Nothobranchius furzeri: one gene and its partner. The protein of the gene in region 2 purifies or fractionates together with the protein of the main gene of each other region. This does not show direct contact. Links are inferred from orthologs where the notes say so. Each region holds a gene or a part of one and is shown on either strand. Other genes may lie near its edges.

Region 1 (7,888 bases), on a different chromosome or scaffold from region 2:
CCACCACCGTGTTTCACTGTAGGCACGATGCATTTCTCCTCAAAATCTTCACCTTTATGACACCATACAGTTTTGAAACTATTAGACCCAAAAACAGTGATCTTTGTCTCCTCACTCCAGAGTATAGAGTCCCAGTATGCTTCCTCTCTTTGAGCATGGGCCCTAGGTAATTCCAGGTGTGTAATTTTTTGTACATGGGCTTTAGGAGAGGCTTACTTCATGGACAATACCCATGCAAGCCATTCCTCTGCAGTTTGCGCTGTATGGTGTCACAAGAAACGGTCACTCCAGTTTGGCTTTCTGCTGCTTTAGCTAACTGCAGTGAACTTGCATGGCGATTTTCTTCAACCCTTCTCATCAGAAGACGCTCCTGTCGAGATGTTCACTTTTGTGGATGGCCTGTACATCTCCGTGAGGTTGCACTTCCATCTTTCTTAAGTGTTTGGATCACTTTGCCACAGTATTTTGACTGATATGTAAAGCTTTGCTGATATTCTTGTAGCCTTCACCTTTTTTATGTAAAGAAATTATTTCCTTTCTCAGATTTTGATACATTTTCTACCATGTGGAGCCATTGCTGAGAGCATGAAATGGGAAGTTATTATTTTTTTAAGTAATGCTGGGCACCCCTTAACCCTCCCACTGTCCTAGTGGGTGTGACCCTGTGAGGAAAGTTGACCATTGAGCAGGGTTGATGATTTATCCCTTGGGCCCATGCGGCAGGGGTGAGGAGTGAGCACCACCTCACCCCTGCCATGTGGACCTCAAGGGATAAACCATCAATCCTGCTCAACGGTGAACTTTCCTCGCGGTGGTCACCCATAAAGCCAGTGGGAGGGTTAAATGAATCATTAGGCTCACCTGTGGTTGAATGCCTGTTAATTCAAATTTTATAGTCTTAAGTGTGGCTTTTCTTCTAATATTATAATTGAGGTGTACACCTTTTTGCAACATGGGCTTGAAAGGATTTGTTAGGAAAATCACTTTTTGTCTGTGAAAATTAATAAATCTCGTTTGGTCCACATTTGTGGGAGTATTTTGTATAGTACCTCGTAAAAAATGTTGATTCTAAAAGGAGACTAAAGGTTTTCTGTCACATGTAGTGGGGTGTGCTCATTTATGCTGAGCACTGTATGTATACTCTAAAACATTTCAAACGTTAATTAATCCATAATTTTTAATGGTTTTACACCAATGATAGTTGTTTTTATCCGTTACTGTCTCGTGGCATTAGATAATGAACGGAATTCTTGGATTTCATCCAAATTGTCATTCCCAAGTGAAGTTGCTAATTTAGTCTTCTTTATTTTGTTTATCGCTGACATAAACACTCCTGATTTGTGTCGGGTTGAGCTTTTCACTTTCGACTCACATGGCAAAGGTTGTAATAGTTAACAAGCAGCATGCTTGTTCTCAATATTGGATCACAACAATCCAACAAGTTTATTATTTCCTGATTTTTGACTAGAGTGGCCAGACGCTCTTCTGAGCAGACCAGACAACTCTTAGGAGTCTTTGCAGAATAGAAAAATAGAGTTTTTTTTTTTTTTATAAAAGAGACTCAACACTTTTCTACATGGCTGTTTTTGTTGGATTAAATGGACATCCACAGTCTGAAAATACTATCTATGACACACAGCATCACATCATCTGCATAAAGACACATTTCGAAACAAAGTCTTACTTTTTCTGTGAAAGTCAGGTTTCTGTGAGATTTCTGTTCTGACCCGAGTGAAACCAGTTCATATCAGGTGTGTTGACCCCATCTTTTAGTTCTTTTTAAAACACAGAAAGGTTTTATTTACCTGCAACGTTTCGTTTGCAGCTGCAAACCTTTCTGTGTTTTAAAAAGAACTAAAAGATGGAATTAGAATTTCAACACAGCAAGAACACACCAAAGAGGTGTGTTGAGTGTCTTATGGCTGGACACCACTCACTGCAGGACCAAAACTGGTGTATCCTTGATTTTCTTTATCACTATGTGTGGGATCACTCTTGTTTGGAACATTTTTCACCATTTTAAAATCTTGTTGTGTAGATCAAGCCTTAGAAAAAAATACGAACTTAAGATATTTCTAAGAACTTTGTACTAGTTAAACTCTTGTGACCTGAACATCATTTCTATCCTGGTGAACCAGACCAAATTCCTGCTTTGCAAAGTTTGGTCTGGGAATGCTCCATTGGAACCTCTGCAGCCCCTAGCAGCATTCTGGCAGGCCAATCATTGCTCTCTATAGGGGTTTCGAACCAATAGAGCACTGTGATTGGTCCATAATGGTACAACAGTGGACTGCCTTGTTTACCGACATCTCTTGCCGTGAGTATGCCACGTTGTTCGTTGTTCAGTAGCATGCGGAGATCGTTTGAAAGACAACGGTAGAAACCACCCTACGACTGAGAATCGTCAATGGAGCGTTGCCAGACTAAGTAATATATTTATTCATTCTGGCTAGCCAGACTACATCATTTCAGCTGGTCACTACTCATTAGATTATGCTTCATCCTCCTTCTCTTCCTTTTCTTCTCCAGTCTCAGGTCATGCTAAGGCCGTAAGGAGCTACATCCTAACTTGTGCAAGGTGCATTAGCTTGGAATCTCTTCATTTCCAAAGCATACCCTGCTTGCTTCCTCTTGCCAACATATCCCCCTCTTCATGACAATCAACCTTCACATTTTCTATAGGACCTCTGGTTTTTAATGGCTCTATTTGTCTTTTTTTTTTCATTTTTAAAAATAATTCCTGAGGCTGTTCTGATAACTAGTTATAACTCATCCACTCACCAGGACTGAATATGTGAATGAACACTTCAGCTAGCAAGAAGCCAGAAAACAGAAACAGCTGCTTAAAGAGCAAGTCACCCCCTACAATTTACTAACTCCACTCCCACTTCATGTTTGAAAAATGCAACAAATGCTGTTGCCTGGCAGACCGAGAGGGTGGAGCCGCTAACAAATACACACACACACACACACACACACACACACACACACACACACACACACACACACACACACACACACACACACACACACACACACACACACACAGGCTCACAATGGCATTGTGACATCATAATGTACCAGCTAACATCATAGCATACCTCTTAGCCAATAGCGGTGGCAGATTTAAATTCAGATACAGTGCAGAGTTTTTCCCTGACGACAGCGGAACACTGACAGTTTTAGGCAGAATATTAAAATTTTAGCTAAGATGCACTGAAGTGCCAAATTATTGACTACGCGTGTCTGCAGCACAATTAGACACTCGTTTATATAGTTTATCAGCAAAAAAAGTTGATTTGGTGGTGACTTGCTCTTTAAACTCTGATTCAGTCAGAACAGATATATTCTTAAATACAGACATAAATAAGATAAGAGATCTGACATTTTGTCAGTCTTTGAGTGATTTTAGTCTAGTTTCTGCTTTCCAGGAAGTTAGATCCACCAGAGGCAACAGCTCCATCTGGAGTGTCTGCAGAAACAAACAGCCTGGATAGCAGCTTCAGGCACCAAATCAACAGTCAACTTCACTCGTGTTTAAAATCAGTTTTTTGAATTCTACCTTTTAAAAGTTAAAGCAATACATTAGCAGCGTTGTAGAAATAAGACTTATTAATGGATTTTGCATTTCTAGACCAGCACTCATAGGAGATAGAGAATTAGATTTGTGTGCAAAGGTGAAAGAAAAGCTGATAAATTGCATTTTCTGTCCATAATATTTTTTAACTTCTTACCTCAAGTCACAGTGTTAGCATAGGGTTGGGCATCGAGAATCAGCATCGATTGGAACCGGTTCCAACTGTTCATCATTTTTCCCGGAATCGCTCAATGTTTTTTATTTCAATTCCTAGTTTTGATTCCCAGTATTTCGACGGAAGAGGAGTCCGCGGCCGATCTTCGTGAAAAATAAACGTGATCTCGTGACTCATGTTTTATTACTGAGCTCTGTTGTGGCTTTTTTATGAACATGTGACAATCAGCTGAAACTGTTGAGAAAAATCTGTTCAAACAAAATAACAAGATGTTCAGAAAGTTTAGAAGCCTGTGTTCATCATTAACGAACCGCATCTCAGGTCATCTGCGTTTATGTGCTTTTAACACGGACTTTACTGTCGTCCAGAATATTTAACCGAGGACGTTTTCCTACCCAACACCAGCCTCCAATCAGGTTTGTAAAACCCCTATTATCCTGTCTTCTTTACAAGCGCGTCTTCATCACCTGCTGCAGAAGCTGCTGCGTTCAAAGCTGACAGAAACGGGGATCCGTGCGCTGCAACCCCTGCAATAAACCTGCGCATTTCCAGTACAGATTTGAACATGTTTGTCGAAAGATTTGTGCAATAATCAGGTTTTTATTTTTCCTTCAACAAAATGCAAGTTCTGAATTAAATATTAATGAAACGGGGACGGCTTGTCATCGGATTTAAAAGCCGCCGCCGCTCGTTAATTACACCGTCATTTTTGAAGTCAGGCAGTCCAAATGACAGCAGAGAGGTCCACTCGCTGTTGCACACATGCGCAGTGGGCATTATTTTACCCCAACAATCCGAATGGCTGTGTGCATGCACGTCAATCGGAATGATGAACACAATAAACCACCTCTCTCAGTCGGATTGAATCGGATCAGAATATTCCGATTGACATGTTTACATGCAGAATTTTCAATCTGATTGGGCGTTCAATCCGATTAAATATGCACATGTAAACATGGCAGTTGTGCTGCAAGTCTTTCTTTTTTTCTCCAAAACACATTTTTGTCTAAATGAAGGTGATGTTAATTGTTCATAAAATTAAAATTCATGTTGAAGTTAAGATTATTTCATCAAGTAGGACCTGTGGTTAGCTGGCTCATGCAAAACATGTCATGTCTTCAAATAATCGGAATCGGGAATCGATCGGAACCGGAATCGAAACGAGAAATTGGAATTGGAATCGGAATCGTTCAAAATCAATCAATGCCCAACCCTAGCCACAAAGTCACCTCTTTGGACACCATCTCATTCATTTCCTACTCATCCCACCAATGCTGCCGTTTCTTCTTTATTGTGCATCAGAGCTGGAGTATTGATTTAGCAGGGCCAGGAGCTCACACACCAGTTGGACTACCTCCATACAAATCGATCCCTGCCAGCTTTTTGTTGTCTGCCACATGAAATCAGAGACTGACAACCATCAGATCTGAGTGCTGCGCCCAAAGAGAGAAAGCTGGATATAGAAATGGAGAACACTTCAGCTGCTTGAAGCAAGAAAAGAGACAACGCATGTAGAAACAAATATGACAGTTTTCAGCTGAAAATAAAGTTAGATTTATGCCCATTTTCATGAATTTTGCAAAATGCAACCTGACTGCCTTGTATTTATTCATCATAACTGTTACTATTAGCATAACTTGTAATTATTCTGTACCAAAAAAGGTTTTATTAACGGCAGACAGAAATAAATGTATATATTCTAACTGGATTTCAGCTAAATGAAATTCTATTATCAGTCACTGTTTCACAGCTTGAACCTCAGCTTGTTTAAAAGCAAACATTAATCTCTTGTGCCACTTTCAGCTCTGAACTGGGCTAAGTGTTTGTCCTTCTATGCGTTGGTTATAATCTAATTCAGGCTGATGTGTGGTGGTTTCCATCATGACCTGCAGTACCAGAAGGAGAACATGACTTATTGTTATTATTATCGTGTTCGGTGTTCGTTGTGAGGAAATTAGATCACTTTAGCAAATGCAATCAGTATGCAAACACAGCAGCACAAAATGAAATAAGTTGCATCAGGCAGAAAGGCAACTACGAAATGTTTAGGGGAATGGGTTAAATAACAGCTGTGTGTGAATTTAAAATAGGAAAATCAAAGATTTCTAGCTTCATTGATTTCATAAATATCACTTTGCATAATAATAGAAAATTTTATGCACATATGTAAGATTAAGCATAAATTGATCTAATTTCTAATTTACATCTAACCAGATGAGAAGCACAAGGAGAATAGAATAGAATAGAATAGAATGCCTTTATTGTCACAATACAATTGTAAAATGAGATACAGAGCATCTCCTACTCAGTGTAAAAAAACAAAAAAAAATGCTGGGGGGGGGGGGGGGGTTTCAGTTCTGCAGCACTATATACATATGGACAGTATTAGTGTTATGTATATACAGTTATTGCAATAGAATTGGTATAAATAGTGGTGGTCAATAGAGGCAGTGGGAAGTGGAGGGCTGTGTTATCGGTGCATGTGTGAGTTCAGCGTGGTTATTGCTTTGGGGAAGGAACTGTTTTTGAGTCTGTGGGTTTTTGTATTAATGCACCTGTAGCGCTTCCCTGAGGGACGCAGTCTGAACATGTTGAAGCCAGGGTGGGAGCTATCCTTGATGATGTTTGCTGCCCTACTGAGGCAGCGGGAGGAATAAATGTCCATCAGGGAGGGGAGAGGGCAGCCGATGATCTTCTGTGCTGTCTTTACCACACTCTGAAGCCTCACTCTATCCTCCAGAAGAAAATGGCCATGAGTTTAGCGAGATTTGCATTCTTCTTCCAGGATGAAATAAGAAGCATTAAACATGGAGAAAACCACCATAACTCTGTCCATGTGGTAAGTACACTGGGGGAGAAGAGATTGTGCTGGGATGCTTCATAAATGCGACTTGTGATTTATTTTTCTTTACCAATTCTTACAAGCTAATAAATCCCAAATTACATGAAATAGTCAAACTACACAAAATTATTTCTCATTTAAATTTAAGTACAACATAAGTGTGATTCGGGGTGAAAGGCAAAGTAGACCAGTAAATAACTTTTGTTGCCCCGTTGACGCTCTTTTTTTTCTTTTTTTCCTTCCAGGGACCCATGAGCCGACTGGAAGGGGAGGAGACTAAAGCCGGGTGTACGCCGTGCGACTTTTAGACCCTTAGCATTTAGCTCCATCTCTAACTGTATGATTTCCTTGCAGAGCAAAGTTAATGAGCCATGTTCTCGCACTGTATGCATAGACGTAGTTTTGGGGGGAACAGGGGGGACATGTCCCCCCACTTTTTTTAAGTAAAGTTTTGTCCCCTGCACATTTTACCATCAAAAATAATTATTACGCTATATTAAATAGACGCTGGTTGAGCACTAGGACCAAGAGGAAAACAACCGCTTGTGTTGAAGCCTGTTTCCCGTTAGAACTGTCCATGAGCTCATCTGGTGATACTTGCTAACGTGTGATGGGCCGTTCCTACCACCTGTGTACTTGACAGTTCTGCATTCCTGACATTGCATAAAAATGCCTCTAGGCTGTAGTTTTATACATATGTTTTGCATACTTACTGAACAGACCCCCCCACCCTGGTTGTGTCGTGTCCCCCCCCCCCCCCCCCACTTCTAAAGTCAAAACTACGCCCATGACTGTACGACCTAATGCTTGGGTGTGACCTGACTACCCACACGTACAGTAGCAACAAGTCTGAGCTAAAATGTGCTAAAAACAGTAGTTTTTACACAACATGTTGGACCTTCGAGTCCAAAAGCCTAGAAGTTGTTATTAGGGACCTGCTGCTCTGTCAGCAGGGCCCTTATTGTTCTTCACCGGAGGATTTATTTGCTTTATGATTATTCTTCCACGGACGTTAATGCAGCTCGAACATTGGTGTGCACCCTCACACAAAGACATTAAAATGACTGGCTTGGCCGTGGGAGGTGTGCCACCATGGCTAAATTATTTACAAAAAACAGAGATTTTTTTTTTCATTTTGAGTGTGTGCTACTCTAAATTAGCAAAATTATTGCATAATTATAAATTAAATGCGCACATAATTAATTGATTAATAAGATGGCAGGCCCTCCAAAGAGGCATTTTTTACTATGTATATCTTGTGCCAGGTGACAGGTCCCTTTTTAAATTTCTTCAA
Region 2 (8,109 bases):
GTTCCGCGTCGCTTGGTGGTAATATTGCGTAAATGGTCTGTTGTACGTATGTGCCCTGGTGCAACAGAGGCAGATGTCACAATGACGTGGGGAGTTATTGCTGAGCTCCGGCTGGTAAATGTATTGAAAATGAAAGTAAACACGGGCAATAAGGTTTGCTTTTTGAAAAAAATCAGCTGAGATGGCAAACTGGAGCGCCGCAGCACTCCACGAGCCTCTCTGTTAGAGCTGAAGCTCAGATTACCAGAGACTGCACAGGGACCGATGGGGACAGACACCTTTAGGAGCTGCTTGTTAAAAAAACCTTAACGATCACGGCTTCAATCGCAATAAAAAACAAGTTATGTCCAAGATAAATGGAAGTCTGCTACAGCGCAGAGACCGCCCCCATACCCCCTTTATGCCGCCATCACCTAATCTTAAATTGCCACGATTGTGCCACATTACCACCACGGTCCGATCTTATAAACGACCTTTATCCTGCCCAGGGCGCCGCGCAAATCCTGTTTTTCCAACGCTCTGGTCCTGTAAAAACAGCTAAAGTGACGGTGTTGAAACGGCTCATTCTGGAAGGTACTGAAAATGTCAAGAATAAAACAGTGGAAATCTCTTTTCATGAGGGGTATTTAGTGCAAATCACTTCATAAAAATGTTGAACCAAATATCATAACTTGAGAAGTCATAATATGTCCTCTTTAAAACGGACGTGATTGTTTTCTGGGATTCTTTACCCATGAGGCGTTGCCAGGCATTCTGGGAACATAGTGAGCATTCATCTTCACACTGTGGCTAAGAACTGGCAGCAAATGTGCACTATTAGTTCCTCCATCATCTTGGAAAGCCTTTGTATCACCTACTATCTTTAACCACGTGACATAAGGCATTACAACGTGTTTATTATAACATGTGGGATCACTCTCAGGAGACTTTATGATCGGCTATTTTTATGCAACCTATCAATTATATTCCAGCTGGGACTTTTAAGTGATTTGATGGTACTCAGTGGTGAGTTTATGGGCGCTTTATTGCACTTAATGGTGTTTGTTTTAATCTCCTGAGACATCACCCCAAAAAATAAATAAATACATTCTTGCAGGCCATTTAAAGCTGTGCAGTCTGCAGGTTGCTGTGCGGGGTTTTCTTTGACCTTTTTGCGCACTTTATGCCATTTTATGTCCTGAAAGTGCGCGCGCGCGCCTGTTTTAAGTGGTCTCAGAACGGGCAGTGTGACATCTCAAACAAAAACACCAGGGTATTTATGGCCATTACGTAACGCAATTTACGGAATACCCCGCGGGCCAATTAAGGGATATTTTGCAACAATGTCAGTTATCCGCGCGTCTTGCATAACCGCTCATGGGGTCTGGGACACGCTGCCACAGCAGATGCGCAGGCTGTCGTCTGCTGGTAATGGATTGTAAACACGGGCAGCCTATAGGCCTCGCATCATACTCTGATGAAGAGCCACCTTCATCCCCGCCACCTGCAGAATGCGCAAGTCTGTAAAACAACCCACTGCAGACGCACCGTGGCCTCTTGATTCATTGCACTGCACACAAAAAAACAAACAAATAAAACAGATAGCGGCGAGCTTTTAGCGGAGATCTTTGCATATGAATGCATTGGCAGCACAATGCCCCCTGGAAAAATGCACATAAATATGCAGAGTGGCCTAAAAACAGCACGGTGGCAGCCCTCGGGATGGATGGAGGTGGAGATGCACCACGTCCAAAAGAGACACCAATAAAAGCTTACCTCCAGCGTTCTTATCTCCTTTTGCGTCAAGTCGTTGGATGTGGCACATTTGGTCCGTAAACCCTCCAAACTAGAGATGCTTATGTCTATCATGTTCTGCACCAACTCGCACTGCTGCAAGGCTTTCTGCAAACTCAGATGCTGCTCCTCGCTTTTTGTCATCTCCTCGTTCATTGTTTGGCGAACAGTGGGTGGATAGTTCTCTTTGCAGGAGAAAAATGACAACGATAAAGATTATTTGAAGGAAATAAACGTGGAGGAGCCCACGGAGTACAGCGACCTGCAGAACGCCATGAAAAGAGATGCTGCGGGTTTGGATTCAGGGTTTGAGCCGTGACAGAGTCGACTCCATCGCCTCCATCAGTCCTGCTGGATCATCAAGGTGGGCTAAATCAGATGCAGCATGAAGACACCGAGCTGGACTGCGCGGTTTGACACAGCATCCATTGGGTGCCTCTTCCTCTCAGAAGGATGTTGAAAGAAAAAAAAGAAAAGAAAGGAAAAGAGGGATGTGGCTCAGCGCATCGTAAGCGGACAGCTCGGAGGGAAGTCTGGAGCGCTTAACGCTGCTGGATGCGGGTCCTCCGTGTCTCCCTGGGCAGCAGCAGCATCCCGGTACGTTCCCACCACACCGACATGATTCCTGTCAATCAAACCCACAGCAACAGCATAGCAGCGCCCAGGCTCCGCCGTGAGGGGCCGCTCTCGCGAGAACTCCAGGCCTGGATGAGAAACGGGTTTTCTTCATGTCCGAGTCAAAGATTTTTTTATTCTATTTCATTTACTCATATCAACGCCACATATATGTGCACTCTTATTACACACTTACACACACACACAATATATATATATATATATATATATATATATATATATATATATATATATATATATTTGATTAAAAAGATCGCAGTGCAAGCATCGCTGAAAAATCATAGATTGTTTAGTCAAAGATCAAAATGAGGCTAAGGTCAAACTTAGGTTTATATTAATTTTCTCGGGGTTATTTGACTTAAGGGGACTTTAAACCACAATAAAACCATAAACCTGTGTTTACATGAAAAATGTGATCTATTTTAGGTAAATCTTAACACGGGCATAGCTCATAACACATTTTCTAAAGAAATTAGAATGTTTAGGTACAAAGTGGGTAGTGACAAACATCTAGTCATCATCATCATCGTCGTCGTATCTGGAAATAGCTGACATAATTGTTTTTACGTTGTGCTTCTTTCAGGACATTCTGGCTAATATAATTGATCAAGCTGGATAAATATTTTTGGTTTTATTGGTTTCTAGTGATTTATTTGCAATGAGAAAAGAAAAAGTTTGACATTTAAACGAATTTGAAGAGGAACAACAATGTTTGACATTTCTTGCAGCGTACTGATTAGTCGCAGTTGTGTTAACTTTTTGCAGCGCTCAACTAACCACAGTGACCCCGCCCACTACAAAGACAAATACCGTCATCCAATTGGTTGTACGTATTGACGTTTTGACGCACGTTTCTCTCGTGAGCGCGGCAAAACAAGGCAGGGTTACAAGCTAACGAACAGGCTAAAATTCTAGTGTTTATTTGTGATTATTGTTCATTTGCAGGAGGCATGGCGTCTACGAGTAAAGTCCCGTTGCAGTCTCGGAATTTACCTTGGTGAGCAGAAAGCGCGTGTTTAATTACGCAAAGGTGCTTAGTGCTAGCTAGCTAGCATGCTAGTAGCTGAAGTGTTCACACTTGTGTCCCCCATCATAACTTTAACCTTTTACCGTTGCACAAACTCGTCAAACAGACCTTGTTAGGTTCGACAATAATGATTAAAATGGCAACGGAATCTACAGATTGGTTTTATTTGAGCTAATATGTTTGCTTTCTGTGCTGTCAAGCTTTAATCATTCAGTAAGTAGTTATTGTTTATAATATAACTGACGCACTTGTTTTGTATTTCAGGGTAGAAAAATACAGACCTCAAACCCTCGACGATTTAATTTCACACAAAGATATCCTGAGTACCCGTGAGTATCTGCAAGTAAAACACGTTGTTGTCTTCTTTCCTGAAGCTTCATCTGTGTAAAATAAATATTCACATCATAAAATTCTACTTTTAGTAACTAAAATCATGATAAAAATAAACGTTTCTCTGATTTCGTGTGTTTGAAATTATATTTTCATACTTATAAATGAGTTTATTTTTGTTAATAACTTATTTTATTACCTTCAGTCCAGAGGTTCATCAGCGAAGACAAGCTTCCCCACCTTTTGTTCTACGGTCCCCCTGGAACAGGCAAAACCTCCACGATCCTTGCCTGCGCCAGGCAGCTGTACAAGGATAAAGAGTTCAATTCCATGGTGCTGGAGGTAAACAAACACTTTCATGAGTGTTCAGGGCTTCTTCCTGTGCTGGAATGACCTCACGAGGGTTCGGAGATTGTTCAGAAACTTTGCTTTTTCTTTGCAGCTAAACGCGTCTGACGACAGAGGGATTGACGTTGTACGAGGTCCCATTCTGAGCTTTGCTAGTACCAGGACTATTTTTAAGTGGGTATAAACAAACTAAAAGGGCTTTTGGGACCCAGAACCTCTGAGATTTTGCAGGTACCTGTACGGCTGTCATCTTTTCTGTTCCTTCAGGAAAGGCTTCAAGTTGGTGATTCTGGACGAGGCCGATGCCATGACCCAGGATGCCCAGAATGCACTGCGCCGAGGTGAGCCATCTGTTCTCCAGGGCGCCGCCCACTGTGAGCCTCACAGCTGACTGAGCATCCTCATAATCTGGCTGCTTTTAAAATGGTGGATCTGCTTTCCAAAGCCAGATTTGTTTCCAAACGGATTCTTTTAGGAGTTTCAAACTGGGAGGAAATGGGAAAACATGTTTCCTGTTGCTGGTCGCTGTGGGTTTTGTTGCTGATTGCAATTTTACTCGTATTTAACTGAGGCATGCATAGAAAAGATGCTGTCAGACCCTGTCTTGCTTTAGAATATTTGATCCTTTTCATGTTTGGTTTAGAAATGCTGGCTGGTAGAACAAAAACCCACGGTGATGATTTGTGATTCTTATCAGAACTTTAAAATGTTTGCAATCATTTCCTACTGCAAGCAACACTTTCTGTTCGCTGCGTTAGTTTTAACGTCTCCTGCTTGTGCCGACCTCCTCTGTCGTAGTGATTGAGAAGTTCACAGAAAACACTCGATTCTGCCTCATCTGTAACTACCTGTCGAAGATCATCCCCGCTCTGCAGTCTCGCTGCACCAGGTTCCGCTTCGGCCCGCTCTCTCCCGACCAGATGGTCCCCCGACTGGAGCACGTTATCCAGCAGGAGAAGTAGGAACATTTCTTCTCTTTTCTTTTGCAGATTCGGTTTTTGCACCCAATCCTGGTCCTCTAGGGGCCCTGTCCAGCGTGTTTTAGTTGTTTCTCTGCTCCAACACACCTGATTCAATGCTTGAATCACCTGTTCAGCAGGTCGTTAAGCTCCGCAGAAGCTGCTGTGGTAAAACCTGCCCCAAAAATCACAGATGAGTTCATCTGAGGTGAAGTCAGAGTTCTGAGCTTCTTCTTCCACGTGAACATTTAAGTTCCCCTAATTATTGCAAACATTTGATTTAATGTAAGATACCAAAAATCACAAATGATCGTTTTATGCCATCGTGTTTTCAACGACTTTAAACATTTTTATTTTTTCTTTGCTTTCATGCAGACGCATGAAGTGCATGGATTGGAGAACTTTTCACACCTCAGAGCATTTAAACCTTCTCCAGGCCTTTTCCCAAGTCTTCCCATCAGAGTTGCTCCTTTAGGAAAGATTCTGGACTTGAATTTAGACTAAAGCGTTTCATTAAGAGATTTATATTTAGGTTTTAATCGGATGGATTGGAACTAATTTAAACTAAAAATTAACCGGATAACTTTTTTAACATGTGGCAGCGTTGAAGTGACTCCAGATGGAATGAAGGCCATTGTGACGTTATCATCTGGTGATATGAGAAGATCGCTCAACATTCTGCAGGTACGACTTAAATCTGCTTTCTTTCTGGCCCAGACGTTCATTTTCGATCGCCTGGAAGTAGGGATGCAACGATACCACTTTTTTCCCAAACCGATACGATACCGATACTTGGATCTGGGTACTCGTCGATACCGATTACCGATACTTCTACCACACAAAAAATGCAATGATTTGGAATACAGATTTTACTTTCTTCTCTGCTTTCAACAGGAAAAGACTGTGAGGAAGATAAAAAGTAAAATATATGAATGGAAATCATCACAAAACTAAAATATTAGGTGAACAGAAATGACAAGTTACAGTGAAGCCATTTTCAAACAACTGCATTGGTATCGGTTAACCTTTACCGATACTGGTATTGGTGCCGATACCAGTATCGTATCGGTGCATCCCTACCTGGAAGTGTTAAGTCGCCACAGCGTTCATCATCACATCAGTAGAGGGGTAAACTGGTGCTCTCTCTGGGATTTCAGAGCACCAGCATGGCGTACGGGAAGGTCACGGAGGACACGGTGTACACCTGTACGGGCCAGCCCCTTCGCTCAGACATCGCCAACATCCTGGACTGGTGCCTCAACAAAGACTTCAACACTGCTTACAACCGTATCCTTCACCACCACCTAATGTGTGGTGGTAGGGCTGCACAATATGTCGTAAATATATCGTTATCGCGATATCTGCATGCACGATATGCATATTGCAAAGAACAGATAAATATCGCAATGGTCAGCTCAAATGTTTGCTACACATGATGCGTTCTGTCAGATGGAGGCATGATGTTTTCTTAACAAATAAAAGAGCTTTTCACCCGTTTGGCCAGTCGGGTGGGTTCTCATGCGTTGGAGGCCCGCCCCCGAGGCGGACGGCACTTAATTTTGATGGTTGGCAAACGCCTGAGTCAGCTTAGTTCTGCTGATTTAGCCTTTCCCGGGATCCACCGATCGCCTTTTCTTTTTCCCTTTCCTCGCATCTTTTGCTTTTCTCATTTTTATGACTTTTTTTATTTCTTTGTTTTTGATTATTTTAGTTCCTGAGTTAAGTTTTTATTTATTGCAAATAGAGGTGCTGAAAAAAATCGATTCAAGTCTGAATCGGGATTCTTGTTTATAAAGATTCAGAATCGATCCACAAAGGTTCAGAATTGATTCCAAGAACTGAAATACTGAAACTGAAACTGGATGACCCGGTTCCGGTTGAGTGAACGCTGGCGCGTCTCGCTGCCGCTGCTCGCTGGCAAACAAACTTTTTGTATTTTTTTTTTCTTCTTTTTCACCCTGGTCACATCCCTGTGTCGGTGAAAACTCATTTTCACCTACCTGTTCAGCTTGCGTTCTGGTTGCACATCACCACCTCCCTGCTCCACTCCATAATGAGGTCCAGCAGGATTTCTGTGTGCCTCGCACTGGCCTGGATCATCCTGTCGCTCATTCTTCTGTCCGTGGATGGCCTTCTCCAGTACTCGGCGGCGGAGCTCTTCAACCTCCGCTTTCGCTACTCCGGATCTCCACCACCAGCTCTGTGCCTCTTCCCCGACATCACCTTCCAGCCTCGCCGTCGGTATATCCATCGGGGGTCCCGGCGGAACCTCCATCTCGACGGCTCCAAAGGAATACCCTCCTTCTGGTCCACGACTAGCCGGCGGCTACCCAGGAATACCTGCCGAGCTGCCGACTCCAGCGTGTTAGCCCGGCTGGCTAGTCGGACTAATGCTCCTGTCGCCAGGGACTTCCGCACTGCTAATTTTGGTCTTCTCAACATTCGCTCCCTCTCTGGTAAAGGACATCTCCTCCAAGATACCATCAGTGACCATAAGCTAGACTTTCTTTGTCTGAACGAAACATGGCAACAACCCAGCGATTTCTCACAACTCAATGACTGTACTCCTCCCGGATTTGTTTACCTCTCCAAACCCCGTGGGTCGGGCCGCGGCGGTGGTCTCGCGATACTGTATCGCGAGACTTGGAAGGTCCTTCCCGTAAACCTTCCTCCTCTCACCACTCTGGAATGCCTCGCCTGTCAACTCTCCGGCCCGACCCCCACAATAATTGTCACTGTTTATCGTCCCCCCAAGTTCAGCCCTGAGTTTTTAAATGAACTCTCTGCTCTTTTATCCCATCTGTCCGCCCTTTCCCCAAATGTAATTTTACTTGGTGATTTTAATATTCATATGGACAATATGGCCCTCCCCCTCAGCAAAGACTTCTCCTCATCTTTGGACAGCCTCAGTTTTCATCAATATGCCAATTTTCCCACTCACATTAAAGGTCACACCCTGGATTTAATCTGCTGCTCCGGCCTGACCCCCTCCAACTGCACAGCTGACCCGCTCCCTTTCACGGACCACTTCCTCAT

Evidence for each region. The genes of interacting proteins can lie anywhere in the genome.
Region 1: the proteins of rfc5 (region 2) and atad5a purify together in Homo sapiens (affinity purification with mass spectrometry; 4 studies listed by BioGRID and IntAct, counting the BioPlex papers as one, with this or other methods). This does not show direct contact. The link is inferred for Nothobranchius furzeri from reciprocal best matches to the Homo sapiens genes RFC5 and ATAD5.

The regions. Positions count from the first base shown.
Region 1 is NC_091752.1:53,825,370-53,833,257, reverse strand, and holds the start of atad5a (ATPase family AAA domain-containing protein 5), read right to left. Parts: upstream 4,092-7,888; 5' UTR 3,735-4,091; intron 1-3,734. UniProt on the Homo sapiens protein: Has an important role in DNA replication and in maintaining genome integrity during replication stress.
Region 2 is NC_091750.1:34,475,225-34,483,333, forward strand, and holds the start of rfc5 (replication factor C subunit 5), read left to right. Parts: upstream 1-3,023; 5' UTR 3,024-3,359; coding exon 3,360-3,406; intron 3,407-3,700; coding exon 3,701-3,765; intron 3,766-3,971; coding exon 3,972-4,108; intron 4,109-4,208; coding exon 4,209-4,288; intron 4,289-4,381; coding exon 4,382-4,455; intron 4,456-4,912; coding exon 4,913-5,072; intron 5,073-5,675; coding exon 5,676-5,757; intron 5,758-6,230; coding exon 6,231-6,360; intron 6,361-8,109. UniProt on the Homo sapiens protein: Subunit of the replication factor C (RFC) complex which acts during elongation of primed DNA templates by DNA polymerases delta and epsilon, and is necessary for ATP-dependent loading of proliferating cell nuclear antigen (PCNA) onto primed DNA.